Saccharomyces cerevisiae S288C: one gene and its partners. The protein of the gene in region 3 binds, or shares a complex with, the protein of the main gene of each other region. Each region holds a gene or a part of one and is shown on either strand. Other genes may lie near its edges. The genes, in order: SEC17, SNC1, SSO1 and SEC9. A codon is read from its position in the direction of its gene.

What was found.
Region 1: the proteins of SSO1 (region 3) and SEC17 are in contact, whole or in part, in a cryo-EM structure (PDB 9CRU), measured with the Saccharomyces cerevisiae proteins. Residues at the interface, in NP_015092.1 of Saccharomyces cerevisiae: Leu201 (codon at 1,679), Glu204 (codon at 1,670), Lys205 (codon at 1,667), Ala208 (codon at 1,658), Thr211 (codon at 1,649), Asn215 (codon at 1,637), Glu218 (codon at 1,628), Glu219 (codon at 1,625), Ile222 (codon at 1,616), Glu223 (codon at 1,613), Glu226 (codon at 1,604), Val230 (codon at 1,592), Asn234 (codon at 1,580); in NP_009503.1 of Saccharomyces cerevisiae: Arg114 (codon at 1,044), Ser153 (codon at 927), Ala155 (codon at 921), Leu156 (codon at 918), Lys159 (codon at 909), Leu193 (codon at 807), Trp196 (codon at 798), Ser197 (codon at 795), Arg236 (codon at 678), Asn265 (codon at 591), Phe266 (codon at 588), Met267 (codon at 585).
Region 2: the proteins of SSO1 (region 3) and SNC1 are in contact, whole or in part, in a crystal structure (PDB 3B5N), measured with the Saccharomyces cerevisiae proteins. Residues at the interface, in NP_015092.1 of Saccharomyces cerevisiae: Glu199 (codon at 1,685), Leu200 (codon at 1,682), Lys202 (codon at 1,676), Leu203 (codon at 1,673), Ser206 (codon at 1,664), Met207 (codon at 1,661), Glu209 (codon at 1,655), Leu210 (codon at 1,652), Leu213 (codon at 1,643), Phe214 (codon at 1,640), Asp216 (codon at 1,634), Met217 (codon at 1,631), Leu220 (codon at 1,622), Val221 (codon at 1,619), Gln224 (codon at 1,610), Asn227 (codon at 1,601), Val228 (codon at 1,598), Val230 (codon at 1,592), Ile231 (codon at 1,589), Asn234 (codon at 1,580), Val235 (codon at 1,577), Ala238 (codon at 1,568), Asp241 (codon at 1,559), Val242 (codon at 1,556), Gln244 (codon at 1,550), Gly245 (codon at 1,547), Val246 (codon at 1,544), His248 (codon at 1,538), Thr249 (codon at 1,535), Lys251 (codon at 1,529); in NP_009372.1 of Saccharomyces cerevisiae: Thr29 (codon at 1,328), Leu32 (codon at 1,319), Gln33 (codon at 1,316), Ile36 (codon at 1,194), Asp37 (codon at 1,191), Thr39 (codon at 1,185), Val40 (codon at 1,182), Met43 (codon at 1,173), Arg44 (codon at 1,170), Asn46 (codon at 1,164), Ile47 (codon at 1,161), Val50 (codon at 1,152), Arg53 (codon at 1,143), Gly54 (codon at 1,140), Leu57 (codon at 1,131), Thr58 (codon at 1,128), Ile60 (codon at 1,122), Glu61 (codon at 1,119), Ala64 (codon at 1,110), Asp65 (codon at 1,107), Leu67 (codon at 1,101), Ala68 (codon at 1,098), Ala71 (codon at 1,089), Gln72 (codon at 1,086), Phe74 (codon at 1,080), Lys75 (codon at 1,077), Ala78 (codon at 1,068), Asn79 (codon at 1,065), Val81 (codon at 1,059), Arg82 (codon at 1,056).
Region 4: the proteins of SSO1 (region 3) and SEC9 are in contact, whole or in part, in a cryo-EM structure (PDB 9CRU), measured with the Saccharomyces cerevisiae proteins. Residues at the interface, in NP_015092.1 of Saccharomyces cerevisiae: Glu185 (codon at 1,727), Ala186 (codon at 1,724), Ala189 (codon at 1,715), Leu190 (codon at 1,712), Val193 (codon at 1,703), Gln194 (codon at 1,700), Arg196 (codon at 1,694), His197 (codon at 1,691), Leu200 (codon at 1,682), Leu201 (codon at 1,679), Glu204 (codon at 1,670), Met207 (codon at 1,661), Ala208 (codon at 1,658), Leu210 (codon at 1,652), Thr211 (codon at 1,649), Phe214 (codon at 1,640), Asn215 (codon at 1,637), Met217 (codon at 1,631), Glu218 (codon at 1,628), Val221 (codon at 1,619), Gln224 (codon at 1,610), Gln225 (codon at 1,607), Val228 (codon at 1,598), Asp229 (codon at 1,595), Ile231 (codon at 1,589), Asp232 (codon at 1,586), Val235 (codon at 1,577), Glu236 (codon at 1,574), Ala238 (codon at 1,568), Gln239 (codon at 1,565); in NP_011523.3 of Saccharomyces cerevisiae: Ile433 (codon at 2,066), Thr436 (codon at 2,057), Lys437 (codon at 2,054), Ser439 (codon at 2,048), Ser440 (codon at 2,045), Ala442 (codon at 2,039), Ser443 (codon at 2,036), Thr444 (codon at 2,033), Asn446 (codon at 2,027), Thr447 (codon at 2,024), Met450 (codon at 2,015), Ala451 (codon at 2,012), Ala454 (codon at 2,003), Ala457 (codon at 1,994), Gly458 (codon at 1,991), Asn460 (codon at 1,985), Thr461 (codon at 1,982), Met464 (codon at 1,973), Leu465 (codon at 1,970), His467 (codon at 1,964), Gln468 (codon at 1,961), Gln471 (codon at 1,952), Leu472 (codon at 1,949), Asn474 (codon at 1,943), Val475 (codon at 1,940), Asn478 (codon at 1,931), Leu479 (codon at 1,928), Leu481 (codon at 1,922), Met482 (codon at 1,919), Gln485 (codon at 1,910).

The regions. Positions count from the first base shown.
Region 1 is NC_001134.8:122,398-126,623, reverse strand, and holds SEC17 (alpha-soluble NSF attachment protein SEC17), read right to left. Parts: upstream 1,500-4,226; coding exon 1,470-1,499; intron 1,354-1,469; coding exon 505-1,353; downstream 1-504. Other genes in the region: PIN4 (Pin4p), read left to right, coding at 1,865-3,871. UniProt on the Saccharomyces cerevisiae protein: SNARE complex protein that binds to cis-SNARE complexes on membranes and is required for vesicular transport between the endoplasmic reticulum and the Golgi apparatus and for homotypic vacuole fusion.
Region 2 is NC_001133.9:85,185-88,697, reverse strand, and holds SNC1 (SNAP receptor SNC1), read right to left. Parts: upstream 1,413-3,513; coding exon 1,311-1,412; intron 1,198-1,310; coding exon 946-1,197; downstream 1-945. Other genes in the region: MYO4 (myosin 4), read left to right, coding at 1-843; protein phosphatase regulator GIP4, read left to right, coding at 1,667-3,513. UniProt on the Saccharomyces cerevisiae protein: SNC1 and SNC2 are vesicle-targeting proteins essential for normal secretory traffic between the Golgi and the plasma membrane. They may also be involved in vesicle fusion.
Region 3 is NC_001148.4:105,347-109,553, reverse strand, and holds SSO1 (syntaxin), read right to left. Parts: upstream 2,280-4,207; coding exon 1,407-2,279; downstream 1-1,406. Other genes in the region: trifunctional fatty acid synthase subunit FAS2, read right to left, coding at 1-902; MIND complex subunit NSL1, read right to left, coding at 2,732-3,382; VMA11 (H(+)-transporting V0 sector ATPase subunit c'), read left to right, coding at 4,114-4,207. UniProt on the Saccharomyces cerevisiae protein: Required for vesicle fusion with the plasma membrane.
Region 4 is NC_001139.9:507,641-512,965, forward strand, and holds SEC9 (Sec9p), read right to left. Parts: upstream 3,363-5,325; coding exon 1,407-3,362; downstream 1-1,406. Other genes in the region: ECT1 (ethanolamine-phosphate cytidylyltransferase), read left to right, coding at 1-300; STF2 (ATPase-stabilizing factor family protein), read right to left, coding at 470-724; nicotinamide-nucleotide adenylyltransferase NMA2, read left to right, coding at 3,905-5,092. UniProt on the Saccharomyces cerevisiae protein: Component of a SNARE complex that may be the effector of SEC4 function in exocytosis.

The DNA of each region.
Region 1 (4,226 bases), on a different chromosome or scaffold from region 3:
TGTTTATCTATGGGGTTCAGAGTGATAAGGGGCAGGATAAGGAAGTTAAAAAAAAAAAGGTTACGTTATATAACGAAAGAAAAGAAACGAGCGAAGTGCCAACTATAGCCCAATATCAAGAATGCAAGTCAGCAAAGTACAGTAATCGTATGAAGATACGCGATGCGTAATATCCCTCAAGGGCTCCGGATCAGAAAAGCTAAGGGAAGATCCTTACATTACACGGCGTGCGACAGACTCGAACCACAGCTAACTTCTCGTGAAAAGATGGCTTCAACTTCGCTCTTGCAATAACTTTGAAACACACGAACAAAGGTTTATTGCGCTTGATTAACGTTGGAAGTATATGATACTAATACTACTTTGTTCTCTAAGTCATCGCTATATGTTTATCTCGAGGAAAAGGTGCACGGCGGTACACAATTACTTCGCCGTTTCGGGTAAAACAAGTGTTACATTTATAATATATATGTATATATGTATGTGCGCGTAAGTATATGCCGTTCATAACAAATCATCTTCTTGTTGCTGGATGGACTCCTTAATTTTATTCAAAATGGTAATTTTCCATTTATCTAGTCTCATAAAATTGTCAAACTCCTTACAGTGTTCGCTTAGCTGCTCGCTATCACCTTCATTAACAGCATCGATTAAACTTTTCAAGAAATTTGACTCCCTTGAATCCGCAAAATTCGGATCTTCACTTTGACCCTCTTGTAAAGTTCTTGCAGCAGCGACTGCATCAGTAGCAGCTAGCTGACAAAGCCCTTTTTTTAGGAAGTAATCCTTCAAACTCCATTGGCTCAATCTATTGCCCATGCTGCTCTTGATCAACTTCGAATATATATCACTTGCTTCAATATATTGACCGTCAAGAGCCTTTAGATCTGCGCATTTGATAAAACACTTATTCGATAATGCTACCGACTGGTCTTGGGCATACCACTCACCAGCGAGCTCATAGCAATCTATAGCTTTTGCATAGTCATGCAAATCATTTTCTAGAATTTCTCCAAGCTCAAACTTGAAATTAGCACCTCTCCGGAACTGCCCCCTATGAGTAAAAATTTGAATAGCATTTTCTAATGAATCCACGGCGTTCACAGAGTTTCCACCGCTTTTAAAGCATTTATAAGCCTCTACGTAGGTATTTCCTGCTTCGTCTTCATTACCAGCCTTTTTCTGATAGTCAGCAGCTTTCAAAAACGAGTCTCCTGCCAAGTTTAACTCTTTTCTTAGACGGTAAATGGTGGCTGCTTGGACACAAAGATCAGCAGCCTCCTCAAACTTGTATGAATCAGAACCGCTAAACAATTTCATGAAACCCGATGAAGGAACACCCTTCTTCTCAGCCTTAACACAACGGGAAATATCAATTCCCGTATTTCAATGTTAGTAATTTGCCTTCGTAAATTACGGAATCACATAGCTTTCATTTTGTTCCTTTGATATATTTCCCTACTACATACTCTTTTCAATAACTCTACAGGGTCTGACATTTTTAACTTTCAGGTTAATGATGGTGTTCTTACTATATTCTCGAGTCGTACAGAAGTTAGTTCAGATAAACTGCTTCGGTGCTGCCCACTTCTTATCATTACTTCAACTTTACCTTCCCTATACCTGTGTGTCCTTATTAATTCAAGTTAATCCGAGGTAATAGATTAGGGTAACCTTCAATGATGTCACGAAACACGGATGCTGCAACTTTGCGATTTTTTCCTGGAAAAGAATAACAATTAAAGGCAGCCTTTCAGCTGAGATTACCAGCAGGTCTTTGGAGATTAGCGCAAGAAGAAGTGTGATATAGTACTCATAGAGGCAGGCTACAGACTAGGGAAAGCGTGTTCAACAACAATAAGAAATGGAGACCAGTTCTTTTGAGAATGCTCCTCCTGCAGCCATCAATGATGCTCAGGATAATAATATAAATACGGAGACTAATGACCAGGAAACAAATCAGCAATCTATCGAAACTAGAGATGCAATTGACAAAGAAAACGGTGTGCAAACGGAAACTGGTGAGAACTCTGCAAAAAATGCCGAACAAAACGTTTCTTCTACAAATTTGAATAATGCCCCCACCAATGGTGCTTTGGACGATGATGTTATCCCAAATGCTATTGTTATTAAAAACATTCCGTTTGCTATTAAAAAAGAGCAATTGTTAGACATTATTGAAGAAATGGATCTTCCCCTTCCTTATGCCTTCAATTACCACTTTGATAACGGTATTTTCAGAGGACTAGCCTTTGCGAATTTCACCACTCCTGAAGAAACTACTCAAGTGATAACTTCTTTGAATGGAAAGGAAATCAGCGGGAGGAAATTGAAAGTGGAATATAAAAAAATGCTTCCCCAAGCTGAAAGAGAAAGAATCGAGAGGGAGAAGAGAGAGAAAAGAGGACAATTAGAAGAACAACACAGATCGTCATCTAATCTTTCTTTGGATTCTTTATCTAAAATGAGTGGAAGCGGAAACAATAATACTTCTAACAATCAATTATTCTCGACTCTAATGAACGGCATTAATGCTAATAGCATGATGAACAGTCCAATGAATAATACCATTAACAATAACAGTTCTAATAACAACAATAGTGGTAACATCATTCTGAACCAACCTTCACTTTCTGCCCAACATACTTCTTCATCGTTGTACCAAACAAACGTTAATAATCAAGCCCAGATGTCCACTGAGAGATTTTATGCGCCTTTACCATCAACTTCCACTTTGCCTCTCCCACCCCAACAACTGGACTTCAATGACCCTGACACTTTGGAAATTTATTCCCAATTATTGTTATTTAAGGATAGAGAAAAGTATTATTACGAGTTGGCTTATCCCATGGGTATATCCGCTTCCCACAAGAGAATTATCAATGTTTTGTGCTCGTACTTAGGGCTAGTAGAAGTATATGATCCAAGATTTATTATTATCAGAAGAAAGATTCTGGATCATGCTAATTTACAATCTCATTTGCAACAACAAGGTCAAATGACATCTGCTCATCCTTTGCAGCCAAACTCCACTGGCGGCTCCATGAATAGGTCACAATCTTATACAAGTTTGTTACAGGCCCATGCAGCAGCTGCAGCGAATAGTATTAGCAATCAGGCCGTTAACAATTCTTCCAACAGCAATACTATTAACAGTAATAACGGTAACGGTAACAATGTCATCATTAATAACAATAGCGCCAGCTCAACACCAAAAATTTCTTCACAGGGACAATTCTCCATGCAACCAACACTAACCTCACCTAAAATGAACATACACCATAGTTCTCAATACAATTCCGCAGACCAACCGCAACAACCTCAACCACAAACACAGCAAAATGTTCAGTCAGCTGCGCAACAACAACAATCTTTTTTAAGACAACAAGCTACTTTAACACCATCCTCAAGAATTCCATCCGGTTATTCTGCCAACCATTATCAAATCAATTCCGTTAATCCCTTACTGAGAAATTCTCAAATTTCACCTCCAAATTCACAAATCCCAATCAACAGCCAAACCCTATCCCAAGCGCAACCACCAGCACAGTCCCAAACTCAACAACGGGTACCAGTGGCATACCAAAATGCTTCATTGTCTTCCCAGCAGTTGTACAACCTTAACGGCCCATCTTCAGCAAACTCACAGTCCCAACTGCTTCCACAGCACACAAATGGCTCAGTACATTCTAATTTCTCATATCAGTCTTATCACGATGAGTCCATGTTGTCCGCACACAATTTGAATAGTGCCGACTTGATCTATAAATCTTTGAGTCACTCTGGACTAGATGATGGCTTGGAACAGGGCTTGAATCGTTCTTTAAGCGGACTGGATTTACAAAACCAAAACAAGAAGAATCTATGGTAATATATACTTCCATTATTCTATGATTATAGAGTTTGTTTGGTATTTGTATATCGCACGATACAAGTAATGAGGGGTGCTTACACAAGATAAAAGATAAAAAAATATATATATATAATAAAAACCATCAAAAACACCATTGAAAAAAAATATAAAAAAAAAAAAAAATAACCGAATATGAATATGAAATTAATGATCATGATGAAGTTAATTTTTACTGAGAAACGTCACCTAATGTCGATGAAACGATGATAATGAATGAATGATGAGGCTACTTTAAGTAACGCAATGTAATCAAGCCAAAATTATCCCTCTTTTTTTTTTTTCCCTCTTTTGAGATTTTATTTTTAACCTACTA
Region 2 (3,513 bases), on a different chromosome or scaffold from region 3:
AATCTTTCCAGACTTCCCGCATTTGCTGCAAATCAAAAAACATTATATGAAGCGAATGGTGGTGATGAAAAAGATAAGTTAACACTGATATATTTGAATGATTTGGAGAATGAAACTTTAAAAGTATTCGACAAGATTTATTCCACTTGGTTAGTGAAATTCATGAAGCATGCTTCAGCCCACATCGAGATCTTCGATATGGTTTTAAACGAGAAGCTATTTAAAAATTCTGGTGATGAGAAGTTCGCTAAATTATTCACATTCTTAAATGAATTTGATGCTGTCTTGTGTAAATTTCAAGTTGTTGACTCAATGCATACAAAAATTTTTAACGACACCCTGAAGTATCTGAACGTAATGCTATTTAATGACCTAATAACCAAATGTCCCGCGTTAAATTGGAAGTATGGGTACGAAGTGGATAGAAATATCGAGCGGTTGGTGAGCTGGTTTGAACCAAGAATTGAAGACGTTCGTCCCAATTTGATTCAAATAATTCAGGCTGTCAAGATATTACAGTTGAAGATAAGCAACTTGAACGAGTTCAAGTTACTATTCGATTTCTGGTATGCCTTGAATCCAGCCCAAATACAAGCAATTCTGTTGAAATACAAGCCTGCTAACAAGGGCGAAGCTGGAGTACCGAACGAAATCTTGAATTATTTAGCTAACGTGATCAAAAGAGAAAATCTGTCTTTGCCAGGGAAGATGGAAATTATGCTTTCTGCCCAATTTGACTCTGCTAAAAACCATCTGCGTTATGACACTAGTGCAATAACACAGAACAGCAATACAGAGGGCTTAGCTACTGTCAGTAAAATTATAAAATTAGACAGAAAATAAGAACAAAGTAAATATACGCCCATATATGTATATATGTATATATACATATATCCTACACTACATATGGAAGCTCCCTATATATATAGCATTGCGAGTGAACTTCTATCGACTAAAGTGAACAGCAATGGGGACGATGATTACAACAAGCAATATGATGATTACTAAAGCCAGACACATCTTCATTTTTAGATCCTTGTACCACATGGCTTTTCTGACCCTATTGGCACCCCTCTTAAAGCCTTGGGCTGAGACCGCTAGGTTATCGGCTTTATCTTCAATGGACGTTAATCTTTCACCTCTTTCTGCTACTTTATTTATGTTATCTCTCATTATTCCCACGGTATCATCAATTTCCTAAAAATAAACACGAAGAACGTATATGAATGTATACGCATAAGTATCAACGATGTAGAAAGTTAGTATAATGTTAATTTCCTAGATGGTACTCTGTGGCTTTCTGTACTTACAGCTTGTAGTTCCGCAGTCCTTGACTTAGACTGTACATTCTGGGGTCGTTCTTCATCGTGCTCGGATAGAGCATAAGGGTCAAAGGGAGTAGATGACGACATGGACAATGAATACGTTGCGCTTGCTATGTCTTTGGCGCAAATTTTCAATGTTTAACTAATACTTTTGACGATCTTTCTTATAGATGCTGTGGGAAAGACCCTTAAAAATGTCTGTTACCCTGCAATCAATGGTTGAAACAGCAGGAAGACGCATAATAAAGGCATATGTTTGAAGTTTGTTAGCGAATGAACAATGATAAAAGGAGTGATTGGAAGCTGAAGGTTGAGGATTTAGACTAGTTTTATATTACAACATGGTAGATGTGCAAAAGAGAAAAAAGTTGCTAGCCAAAGCTGCTGCCAGCGCTTCTATTCCGGCAATCAAAGGTTCTGTTCCGTTGGACTCGTATGATATAAAAATCATTCAATATAAGAACGCTCTTTACAAGCTGAATGAACTGAATAGGCTACTAAACGTTCTGGTACCGCATTTGAAGAAGAAAAGAGACAATGACGAGTCCTACAAAATTATTCCCCTCGTTAATTTCATCTTATCACTTTGTGAGGGTCCTATATTTAATGTAAGCCCCGTATTGGCTAAGAGGTACCATTTGCTCTGTCGATTCCAGCTGATAAAGCTAAGCGAAGTGCAGCAGAGATTATCAACTAATTTTATTGATGTAGAGGGCTGGATGTTTCCCGAGGAGGTACCCCTAGATCACTATAAATCGTGCATATACAATAATTCTCTACAATGGAAGATTTTAAATTCGCTGTCTTGCATTGCTCAAAATGCTATAAAAATTTATAATGCCAAGTTGAGACAGATTTTATTGGAAAGGGATGCGTACAAAGCTCGGTCACTTCCATTTGACACTTCAATAATTGAAGACTTGTTAAATCCAGTTGAAATGACATTGATTCTAGATTTAGCCGTTTTGATTAATGATCCAGTAAGGGATAAGTCCACCCATTCCTTTTACAAATTGCAATGGCAAGTGATGGAGAAACTGAACTCCTGTGTTCATTCGAAAATCTTCCCCATTCTAAGGACATATTACAACCAATTGCAGAAATTTTCGGAAACAAGACCTACTTCACTGTCAAATTTACAGAAGGATCTACCACATTGGGAATGGACTCTACACAGGATATACACTTTCCACTTGCGGGTTTTTTCTGTCTTGTGTGTTATTATCAGTTTCTCTAGGCAAATTTTCCTACCGAATAAACAACATTTCTTGGACATCAAGACAAGATTATCCAGCGAAAACGTGTACCATTACGATTTGATAATTTGTGAGCTGATGGCTTTGCTCTCTCCAGAATGTGATGATGTCACAGCTTTATTCGAACTGCAGGAGAATTTAAAATTTTGGACTCAAACGGCGCGTACCGATAACAATTCCTCAAGAACTCCCATTTTCCACCTTCAACCTGGTTTAGTTGTGGAATTGTTTAATAATCATATCTGCAAGATTATACCGAAATTGAGGTCCATTATGGGATTATTATCCAATTGGATGGATTGCTGGAAATATATTGAGAAAAATTATAAAACCTTCGATGAAACCAATGACTTGCGGGAGAATTTGAAAGAAAAGCTAGAAAGAGATAAGGCTCTGTATTTAGAGGTTAAAAACGCGAAAAGTAAGCTAAAGAAGAAGCCGTCAATAACAAAGCTGCCAGCCTCTTCTTCTCCATCCCCCTCACCCACATCTTCAGCAAGCCCATCAAGACAGGCCTCTTTAGAGAGCATAAGAACAAGGGCAAGGGCGCATTTAGCCTCAAATTCTTCTAGGTCTCCCTCAGTATCGCCTGTAAGGACCACTTTCAACAATAAAAACGCAGAAACGAAGAAAAGCGTGGTGTCTCCGGAGAAAAGAAAACTGATCAACGGCAGAAGGCCTAGATCCTCATCTTTGCAATCCTATACAAACAAACAACAAACCTCATATTTGAATTCTACAAGACATCCGTCAATAGCTCCACCTTCAAAGCTCAACAATCAAAGGTCCAATTCTTTGCAGTCCTCAACCATGACGTTAAATCAAAAAATCGTCCAAGATACAGTGCGGCATTTGATGAACAAAAGTGCATCTACACCCAATCCTTCTGCATCTTCATCGTTAGCGCCTTCACCAAAAGTATCCAGTATAAA
Region 3 (4,207 bases):
TCAACACCAACAATGGAAGCGTATTTTTGAGCCATGGAGTCCAAGAAAGCCTTGGCATCAGCTTCAGAACCTAGACGAGCAGCAGGCTCGTTAGATAAAGCTACCAAAAGGACACCATCTTGTCTACCAGATGGTAGTCCCCAGCGAGTTTGTAAGTATTTTCTAGCGACAGTAATAGTAAACCCACCAGGCATCTTAGATGAGATTAATCTTGATAATAACGAGGAAGATTGCTTACCCAATGCTCCAGAGAAGGTATCTTGGAAAGTTTCTGCCAATTCTTCTAATGGAGTTTCTTCTGGTTTTTCAGGAGTAGTACCAAATTCTTTACCTAAATCACCCAAAATTTCATTTTGGACTGTAGATTTACCACCGACCAAGTCTTTGATTGTCTTGGACATTGGAATGGAATCTAACGACTTCTTCAACTTGTGAGCAACCAAAACGTGCAACAATAGGGAAGCCTTGACAGGTTCATCGGCAATCTCAGCAGCTGCTGCAGCTGGGGCTGCTGCCGCGACGGGAGCTGGGGCTGCTGCTGCAGGAGCAGGAGCACTAGCAGCTGGAGTTGGAGCAGGAGCTTCTTCCTTAGCGGGCTCTTCCTTTGCAGCTAGTTCGGATGGATCTGGGGTATAATAAATCTCTTTGGCATCCTTCGAATAGCATAAGATTTCTCTATGTAAAGACAGAGCAGCATCGTAAGATTCGTATTTATTCTTCAAGGTTCTTTGAGCCATCCCAGCCAAAGTTGGAGAAGGACCGATTTCAACAACCCTTTCAGTGTTAAAATCCTTCAAAAAAACATCTTGAGTTTCAATCCATCTCACAGGAGAGGCAAATTGATAAGCTAACAATTCAGTTAGCAAAATATGAGCTAATTCTTGCTCAACTTCCGGCTTCATAATGATGGTATTTCAATTGGTGTTGCTGTAGCCCTTTAAACGTCTAATATAGCGGTTATTAGAAAAGCACGACAGTGGTGATGTGGTCTTGTGTAACCTTCAGTTAACAAGTTATATATGAGGCATAACCGTTTAGAAACAACTGGTTATCCAACATCTGTAAACTGCCCAACAAACCGTGCCTTAGTGAGATTTCGGTCGTAACGTTACGAGGCGAATGAGGTAGCATGTGAAAACGCGGGAGATAAAAAAAAAATGGTTGGATTTTGCTAAGCGATGGGTTAGTTTGCGGGTAATGCCCAATGTATTTTTAGGAAGAGTGATATTTAAATATTGCTTGGCTAAACTAAATACACGTCCATGATTCAGTAGTAAGTTGTTGTTTTTGGCCTGCAGACCAGAGAAAATTTAGGAAATATAGTAAAGAATAGGCGAAAGTATTAAGATATATTGATATACAAAAGGGGAGTTCGGATAGAATAGAAATATAGAAAATAGTTGGAATTAACGCGTTTTGACAACGGCTGGGACAACAACGACAACAACAACGACTACAATGATGGCGAATACAATCAACCAACATCTAATCTTGTTCTTTCTTGCTTTTCTGGCACTCTTGACGGCTTTATCGGTATGACCGACACCCTGTTCTACGTCGAGTTGAGCGTCTTCAACGTTCTTGTCGATGACGTCTACGTTTTCTTGTTGTTCTATTACCAGTTCTTCCATGTCATTAAACAATTGAGTAAGTTCTGCCATGGATTTTTCTAGTTTCAATAACTCTTGGTGCCTTGCCTGGACTTCCGCAAGAGCAGTCTTGGCTTCCCCACGTCTGTTAGCATTCAACAATGCTTGTGAGAAGATCTGCTGGCCCCCTACATCGCTTATGGCTGCTTCAACTTCATCTTCGGTGGCCTCTGGTTGAATGATCATATACTGCCTCTTGGCTTGCTCTTTATTCTCCTCCTTGTAGTTGGAATCCACAATTCTGTAGTCCTGGATAAGCTTCAAAAATCTTTGTCTGGAGTTTTCCGCCTGAGCTTGCTTGTTGGTGTCATGTATCCCATCCCTTTGGGCACTTTTAATCTCATTTTTCAGTTTGAACTGCAAGTCCGTGGCTTGTGCGACGAAGTTGTCCAGGGAGTGCCTTAAGTGACTTGCTTGCTCCTCATTAACTTCGGTCAGTAGCCTCTTATGCAAAGAATCGACCTGGTTGATGGTATGGTCGTACTTATCGAGATCGCGATTGATTTGACTGATCTTATTCATGAAGCCCACGAAATCGTGGCCTTCAGCACCGATAGCGCTCGAACCTTCGTCCAACTCGTATGACTCTTCAAAAGGGGTTTCCAACTGGTACGGATTATTATAACTCATTTGATTTGTTTCTATTTTTAATTGCCTTTTTTAATTGTAAAAGGGTTTTCTTTCAAGTATACACAGATTTACCGCAAAGACCGTCACTGCGTGAGATAGACCTTTCTTTGTTCTTTACTAAAAGTTATTGGTCTTTCCCCTTGTAACTTCCACGATTTGACTTGATTTGGTTCTTGACGTCTTTACGAGAAGTAAGATCCTGCTACTTTTCTTTTTTTGTATTCGCGTTTCACAGACACTAATTTTTTCTCTTTAACGGGCAAAAACTGGATTCTCCCCCATGCGCACAGCCTGCATATCGTCTTTTGTCGTTAGTGTGTGGGAAAAGGCTGGCTCTATACTTTTTTATTTTCAGCTCTTCGTACAAAGATAAAAAAGTGTAAAAAAATGAATAAAGCCCCAGAATATAGTTATCATTTACCACGAGGTTGACTGTCTTATATGTTATTTATTCAATCCTCCTCCAGGAAGTCCATTAAGCGCTTGACCTTTTCAACGTTATATCTTACCTTGGGTAGGTCTTGCTGTGTTTGATACAATTCATTGAGTGAGGCAACGTAATCCTGCTTGATGTGCTCCCAGTTGATGTGATCATCGGCATCGTCGGTACTATCATCATGGTCAGCAGATTGTTGCTGCATCATTCTAGCTTGAAGAACGCCGATTCTCCCATCCAATTGTGCCAAATACTCATCCTTTGAGTTGTTGTAAACTTCGTTGATTTTTGCAGGCCCCGTTTGCCTCAACTGGGCCACCTTAACGGTTTCGTCTTCCCACTCTTGGTACATCTTTCTAACTTGCTCATTCAGGTCAAGGTCAAAGGGCTCCATGTACTTCTCTTGTGATTCCATGATCAATTGCTTTACCGTCTTTCCTACCGTGTCGGCGTTGACAACTTCTAGTGACTTCGAAGCCATCGTCATAGCGCTCAAAAGAAATTCTTGTAACTGTATCTGAACCTCTCTCCTAACAGCGTCATCGTCGTATTCTTTCTTCGGTAGATGCAAATCAGTTTTTTCTTCCAAGATATCATGAAACTGGTGGTATATACTTCGAAGCTGCTCAACAGTTACGTCCAGTTTTTTGGACTGACCTTGTGACATCTTCTCGTGTTACAATAATATATTTAGTGTGGTTGCTATGGGTAAGAAAGGATTTAGGCTCCGGTACACGTCTGAATAAAACTTTTTCCGCCTACTCAGCCTGCTTATTGTACTGTACCGGTTTGTTTATTTTCTTGATTCCTGCACGCACAAGGAATGGCCGCGAGTCGTCCCATCGATCTTTTTTTCTCACTATATATCATGAACGTTTATTTTGGCTGATAACAAAATATTCGTGTCAGTTGAGCCAGGTAAAAGGTTGCAGCCTAAATCAGTACTTATGTACGTACATGTGTATCTGTGTATATATTATCTATATCACTAATCGTCTTGTGCTTTCAGGCTTAAAGAGCCATTTCAAAAAGCAAGCAATTACTGGACTGCTTTTATATGTTTTCCCTCTACGGAAAAAAAAATGTAGAAACCTGTCAAAATGGTGATAAAGAAGAAGTAACTTCTTTATTTGGTATTGTTCAGGTCTGCTTATTCCTCTTCGGTTAGATGTGTTCTTTTGCGTAAAAGCAGCAGCACTTGGACAATGCGACTTTTTACCCGGTACGCAGGTACGCATATTTTTGCTAAGAAATATTCTTTAGTGAAAGAGTGATTAGTTAGAAAAAGGAACATAGATAACCTAATATTTTCTTCTTTACTCGTAAGAAAAAAAAAAATAAATATAGCAAAGCAAGAGTCGGAGGAGGAAAGGGTCCATTCTATTATTCTCTGTAAACATGTCAACGCAACTCGCAAGTAACATATATGCTCCATTGTACGCTCCCTTTTTCGGGTTCGCAGGTTGTGCAGCTGCCATGGTGCTTTCCTGTT
Region 4 (5,325 bases), on a different chromosome or scaffold from region 3:
CACCCCGATAAGAAATTGATTGTTGGTATTACCACAAGCGATTACTCGAGTACCATTATGACGATGAAGGAACGCGTCTTGAGCGTTTTAAGTTGTAAATATGTTGATGCCGTTATTATCGATGCTGACGCCACCTCAATGTCTCAGTATAACTGCGAGAAGTATCATATTGGCACGGCTGTCCTCACTGCTGCCGGAAAATTCAGTGAATACTTGACTAAAGAGCTTATTGTGAAGAGGGTGGAATCGCAAAGGGAGGTTTACATTGCGAGGAACCAAAAAAAGGGAATGTCCATATAAACAAATGTTGAAAACTTCTTCGAACGTAAATTAAATGGATGTAAGAAAACTGTATTACATAAGTCATGAAGTAGGCATGCAAGTATATACCTATAGATGCATATAAATCAGTGGAGAAGGCCACTATCCTTCAGAGATCAAAAAACCTTTTTTTATCTTGAAAACGCCCTCATTCCTTTTGGACGTTTTCAAACTTTTGTTCATGCGATTGCAAATTTGAGCCTCTTCTATCTTTCTTGAACACTGGGGGTATTTCACCATTATCAATTAAGTCATCAATCTCATCGCCTGGCTTACCCCAATTACCCTTGCCGGAACCTTGCTTCTTGATGTGATTTGGAGATTCACCGTAGTTACCAGTGTGCGAAAAGTACTTTGGATCAGCCTTTCCTTCACGTTCGGTCCACTTGTTTGTTCTCGTCATTTTTTCTGATTGGTTGTACACTTGAGCGGTTTGTTACTGTTGATTGTTCGTTTATTTGTATAATTGAGTTTACACAACAATTGTTACAATAGTATGGGTAATTAGGGCCAAGAGAGTGACAAAAAGCAAACTTATAAATAGTCCTTTTATACAAATGACAAGTGTTCGCTTCTGCGCTCGCAGCCCCCTGTTTTCGAAGGAGTTTCTTAGCCTAAGCTAGGCAGGCGCGCCCCCATTATCTATCCCTTCATTGCTTACTGAGAGGTTTTCCTCCCCCCCTCCGCGTATATTTCCTCCGCTGGAGAAAATTAGTTGTGGGACGGATAGCATCACTTAATTCTGTACCTTTTTGAAACTGGCTTGGTACTTTCTGTTGGATAGCAACATTTCCCGCTGGGATACTTCAACATGGGCTATGAATTTTCTTTTGTCTTTTATCTTTTATCTTTTATCTTTTATCTTTAAATTATTTGAGCTCGGTTAAGTTCATAACTATTGCGTGCCCGAATGGTATTCTTTCAATTCACAACCAAACATTAAAATGAAGAAAGCATACTCTTATATTATATCAATGTCTTTTTCTTTACTTATTTGTCTTTGCTCATAAATTTCTACATAATGGTAGTAATGGTGATGAAATGTTGTTACTTGTGATATATTACATAGTTTTTACAGGCATATTCTATCTGATACCTGCCAACCTGTTGGTATTCATATGGAGATTGATATCTAGATCATCAGTGCTTTCCTCAATGTTGTTGAGACGTTTTTGCTGAGAGTCTAATTCTTTACCAGTGGTCAAGGCCATTTTCTTCAATCTGTTGCTAACCTGCTGAATCTGGTCCAAATTCCTATCAATTTCCAATTCCATTTCGTCATCTTCTTCATCATTCTCAAACTGATATCTCTTTGCCTTTTCTAGAACATTCTTCCTCTGATATCTTTCCCGCACCTCACTTATGTTATTATTTGCGTTCATAGCACCCTCTATTCTTTGAGTGGACTGAGACAATTGTTGACTTGTTTGCTCTCTCATTAATTTTTCTTCAATTTTCCTATTCTTCAGCTGCTCTTCCCTCTCCCTTCTCCTTCTCTTGGAATTAAACGGATTAGAAACATGGACAGCCAATATACTACGGTTCAATTTTTTTAGTTCTGCAACTTTTTCATCTGCAACTTTATTTTGCACCTTCATTAAATCTAAGTTTCCTTCTACGTTATTCAATTGTTCACTTTGATGACCCAGCATACCCAATGTGTTCATACCTGCTCTTTCGGCGTCTTGAGCCATTTTTAGTGTATTTCTAGTAGAGGCTACGGAACTCTGTTTCGTAAATTTGATCTCCTGCTTGATTTCATCTACTGCTTCATCTTCTTCCTGCTGCTGGCGAGCCTCCTCTTCTTTTTGTATTTCTTCAAATGTTTTGTAACCCCTTTGATCTCCATATTGGTTATTTGTTGCGTTAAAGTGTTGCTGTTGCTGTTGCTGCTCATCCATGAACCACTGTTGCTGCTGCTGCTGTCTTGAACTATGATCAACTTCGGACGCATTTAAATCTATTGAATCTTCATTCGTCATTACTGCATTCAAATCAGGCTCATCTAATGCCGCTCTATTTTCTGCAGACTTGTCAGCATAAACTTCTTCAAAATCAAATTCACCTGTTCTAGGTTCTTCATTTAAATCAACTTCACTATTGCGTGCTGCTTCATCAGAAGCAATAAAAGAGGGCGTATAAGTCATTGGAGCTTGTTGCGATTGCGGTTGACGCACACTTCTACTAGAATATGGATTTGCAGACCTGTTCAAATTTCCATTACTATATGAGTCGTTCGCCATAGAGGCGTATGGATTTGCATTCTTGGAGCTTCCTTGTCGAGTACCGCTAGATCTATTAGTATTGGAGTCATACGCCCCGCCATAACTATTCATATCAGCGTAAGGATTTCTCTTTTCTTGCATCGGGTTTGCTAAGGGACTTCTTTGGTCAAGCGATAAGCTGTTGGTCGACGTTGAAACCGGCGGTTGCCTTGTTTGCCTCGAAGGCCCTACGTTTAAAGTGCTGTTTGAATGATTTAAACTATTACGGCCATTCGCATTCACCCAGCTGTTTGAAGTATTTTGGTTACTATACGGGCCATCGTTATTATATGAATTCAGAGATGTGCCATTGTACCCCCCTCCATAATCACCATAAGGCGCAGCATTGACGCTACCTCTCCCATTACTTTTATTAGCTTGAAACCTTGCATAAGGATCGTCATCATATCGGTAATCATCATTTTCGATAGCGTACGGATCTTGCATAGAATTGGATTCTGCTCCATTTCCGAGATCTTGCGTGCCACTTGAACCTCTATTAGAACCAGCAGTTGCCTCGTTAGCATTGGCATCTAAGGGAGAAGCATTCAAATCCTCAAGTTCATCCTGTGGCCTAGCATACTGCTCATAACCTGGTGGCGCGTATACCTTATCTTCAGCTTTATCATTTGCAAATTTACCGTAGGCGGCAAATTTCTCTTTTCTTTTCTTGCTAGGGTTTTTGACACTAATACCCAGTTCCATCAAAGTATCCTTGTTCTGTTCTGGTGTCGCTTCCTCTGGAGGCTTAATCTTAAAAAATTTCTTTAATCCCATTCTTTTGGTGTCAATGGTGTATTATTCCGAGTTACTCCAGGCTAGGTTCAGGAGTACCAAGAATGTACTTTATTTATTTATACACCGGAGCAAGTCATATAATTACGCAAACGATTCGAAATTGTTAAAAGCAGGATCAACGTATCTCATTTCTTTTTGAAAGACGGGTAATAGAAAGTCTCTGAGTCGCACCCCACATGGATATCGTACTATTCGTATATGGAATGTAAAATACTCGCAATACGATTTTATTTAGCTTCACAATCTCTCAAACTTATCGTCTTGATCAATCTTTACGTTTTACCAAATAATCGCCTGTTTCTGGCCATTTTTTGCTTATACCATCTACCATACTCGCTGTCCATATGTGACGGTGTCGTCTCCAAGAAAAATAACAATGTAAATTGACCCAGCGTGACGACAGTAGACTGTAAGTTATAGTACAATCATACTCTACCTTAGTCACTGTTCCTCCACTGTTAAGTAGAGAGAGAGAGAGAGTTTAAAGTGGAGAAGGCAAGAAAAAGTGCACTTATTACGTAATGGATCCCACCAAAGCACCCGATTTTAAACCGCCACAGCCAAATGAAGAACTACAACCACCGCCAGATCCAACACATACGATACCAAAATCTGGACCCATAGTTCCATATGTTTTAGCTGATTATAATTCTTCGATCGATGCTCCTTTCAATCTCGACATTTACAAAACCCTGTCGTCAAGGAAAAAAAACGCCAACTCAAGCAACCGAATGGACCATATTCCATTAAATACTAGTGACTTCCAGCCACTATCTCGGGATGTATCATCGGAGGAGGAAAGTGAAGGGCAATCGAATGGAATTGACGCTACTCTACAGGATGTTACGATGACTGGGAATTTGGGGGTACTGAAGAGCCAAATTGCTGATTTGGAAGAAGTTCCTCACACAATTGTAAGACAAGCCAGAACTATTGAAGATTACGAATTTCCTGTACACAGATTGACGAAAAAGTTACAAGATCCTGAAAAACTGCCTCTGATCATCGTTGCTTGTGGATCATTTTCTCCCATAACATACCTACATTTGAGAATGTTTGAAATGGCTTTAGATGATATCAATGAGCAAACGCGTTTTGAAGTGGTTGGTGGTTATTTTTCTCCAGTAAGTGATAACTATCAAAAGCGAGGGTTAGCCCCAGCTTATCATCGTGTCCGCATGTGCGAATTAGCATGCGAGCGGACATCATCTTGGTTAATGGTTGATGCCTGGGAATCTTTACAATCAAGTTATACAAGGACAGCAAAAGTCTTGGACCATTTCAATCATGAAATAAATATCAAGAGAGGTGGAATCATGACTGTAGATGGTGAAAAAATGGGCGTAAAAATCATGTTATTGGCAGGCGGTGATCTTATCGAATCCATGGGCGAGCCTCATGTGTGGGCTGATTCAGACCTGCACCATATTTTGGGTAATTATGGATGTTTGATCGTGGAAAGGACTGGTTCTGATGTTAGGTCCTTCTTGCTTTCCCATGATATCATGTATGAACACAGAAGAAATATCCTTATTATCAAACAACTTATTTACAATGATATTTCCTCTACGAAAGTGCGGCTTTTCATCAGACGTGGAATGTCAGTTCAATATCTTCTTCCAAACTCTGTCATCCGTTACATCCAAGAGTATAATCTATACATTAATCAAAGTGAACCGGTCAAGCAGGTCTTGGATAGCAAAGAGTGAGTTTATTACAACTCTGATACTGCAGCAGTTCAAATTTACCACTTTCCTCTTCAAGGTGCATAGAAAAAAAGTTCCTGGATGCACGATTTAAAATGTTTACAGCAGAGCAACAATCATGTGAACAATGTCAAACATTTATTTTAACACTTAATAATTATAATATAACCACACCAGCGGTAAGTTTCATAAGGAAAACCTTTCAGACAAACATTCCAGTGAATCGTATACGTAAA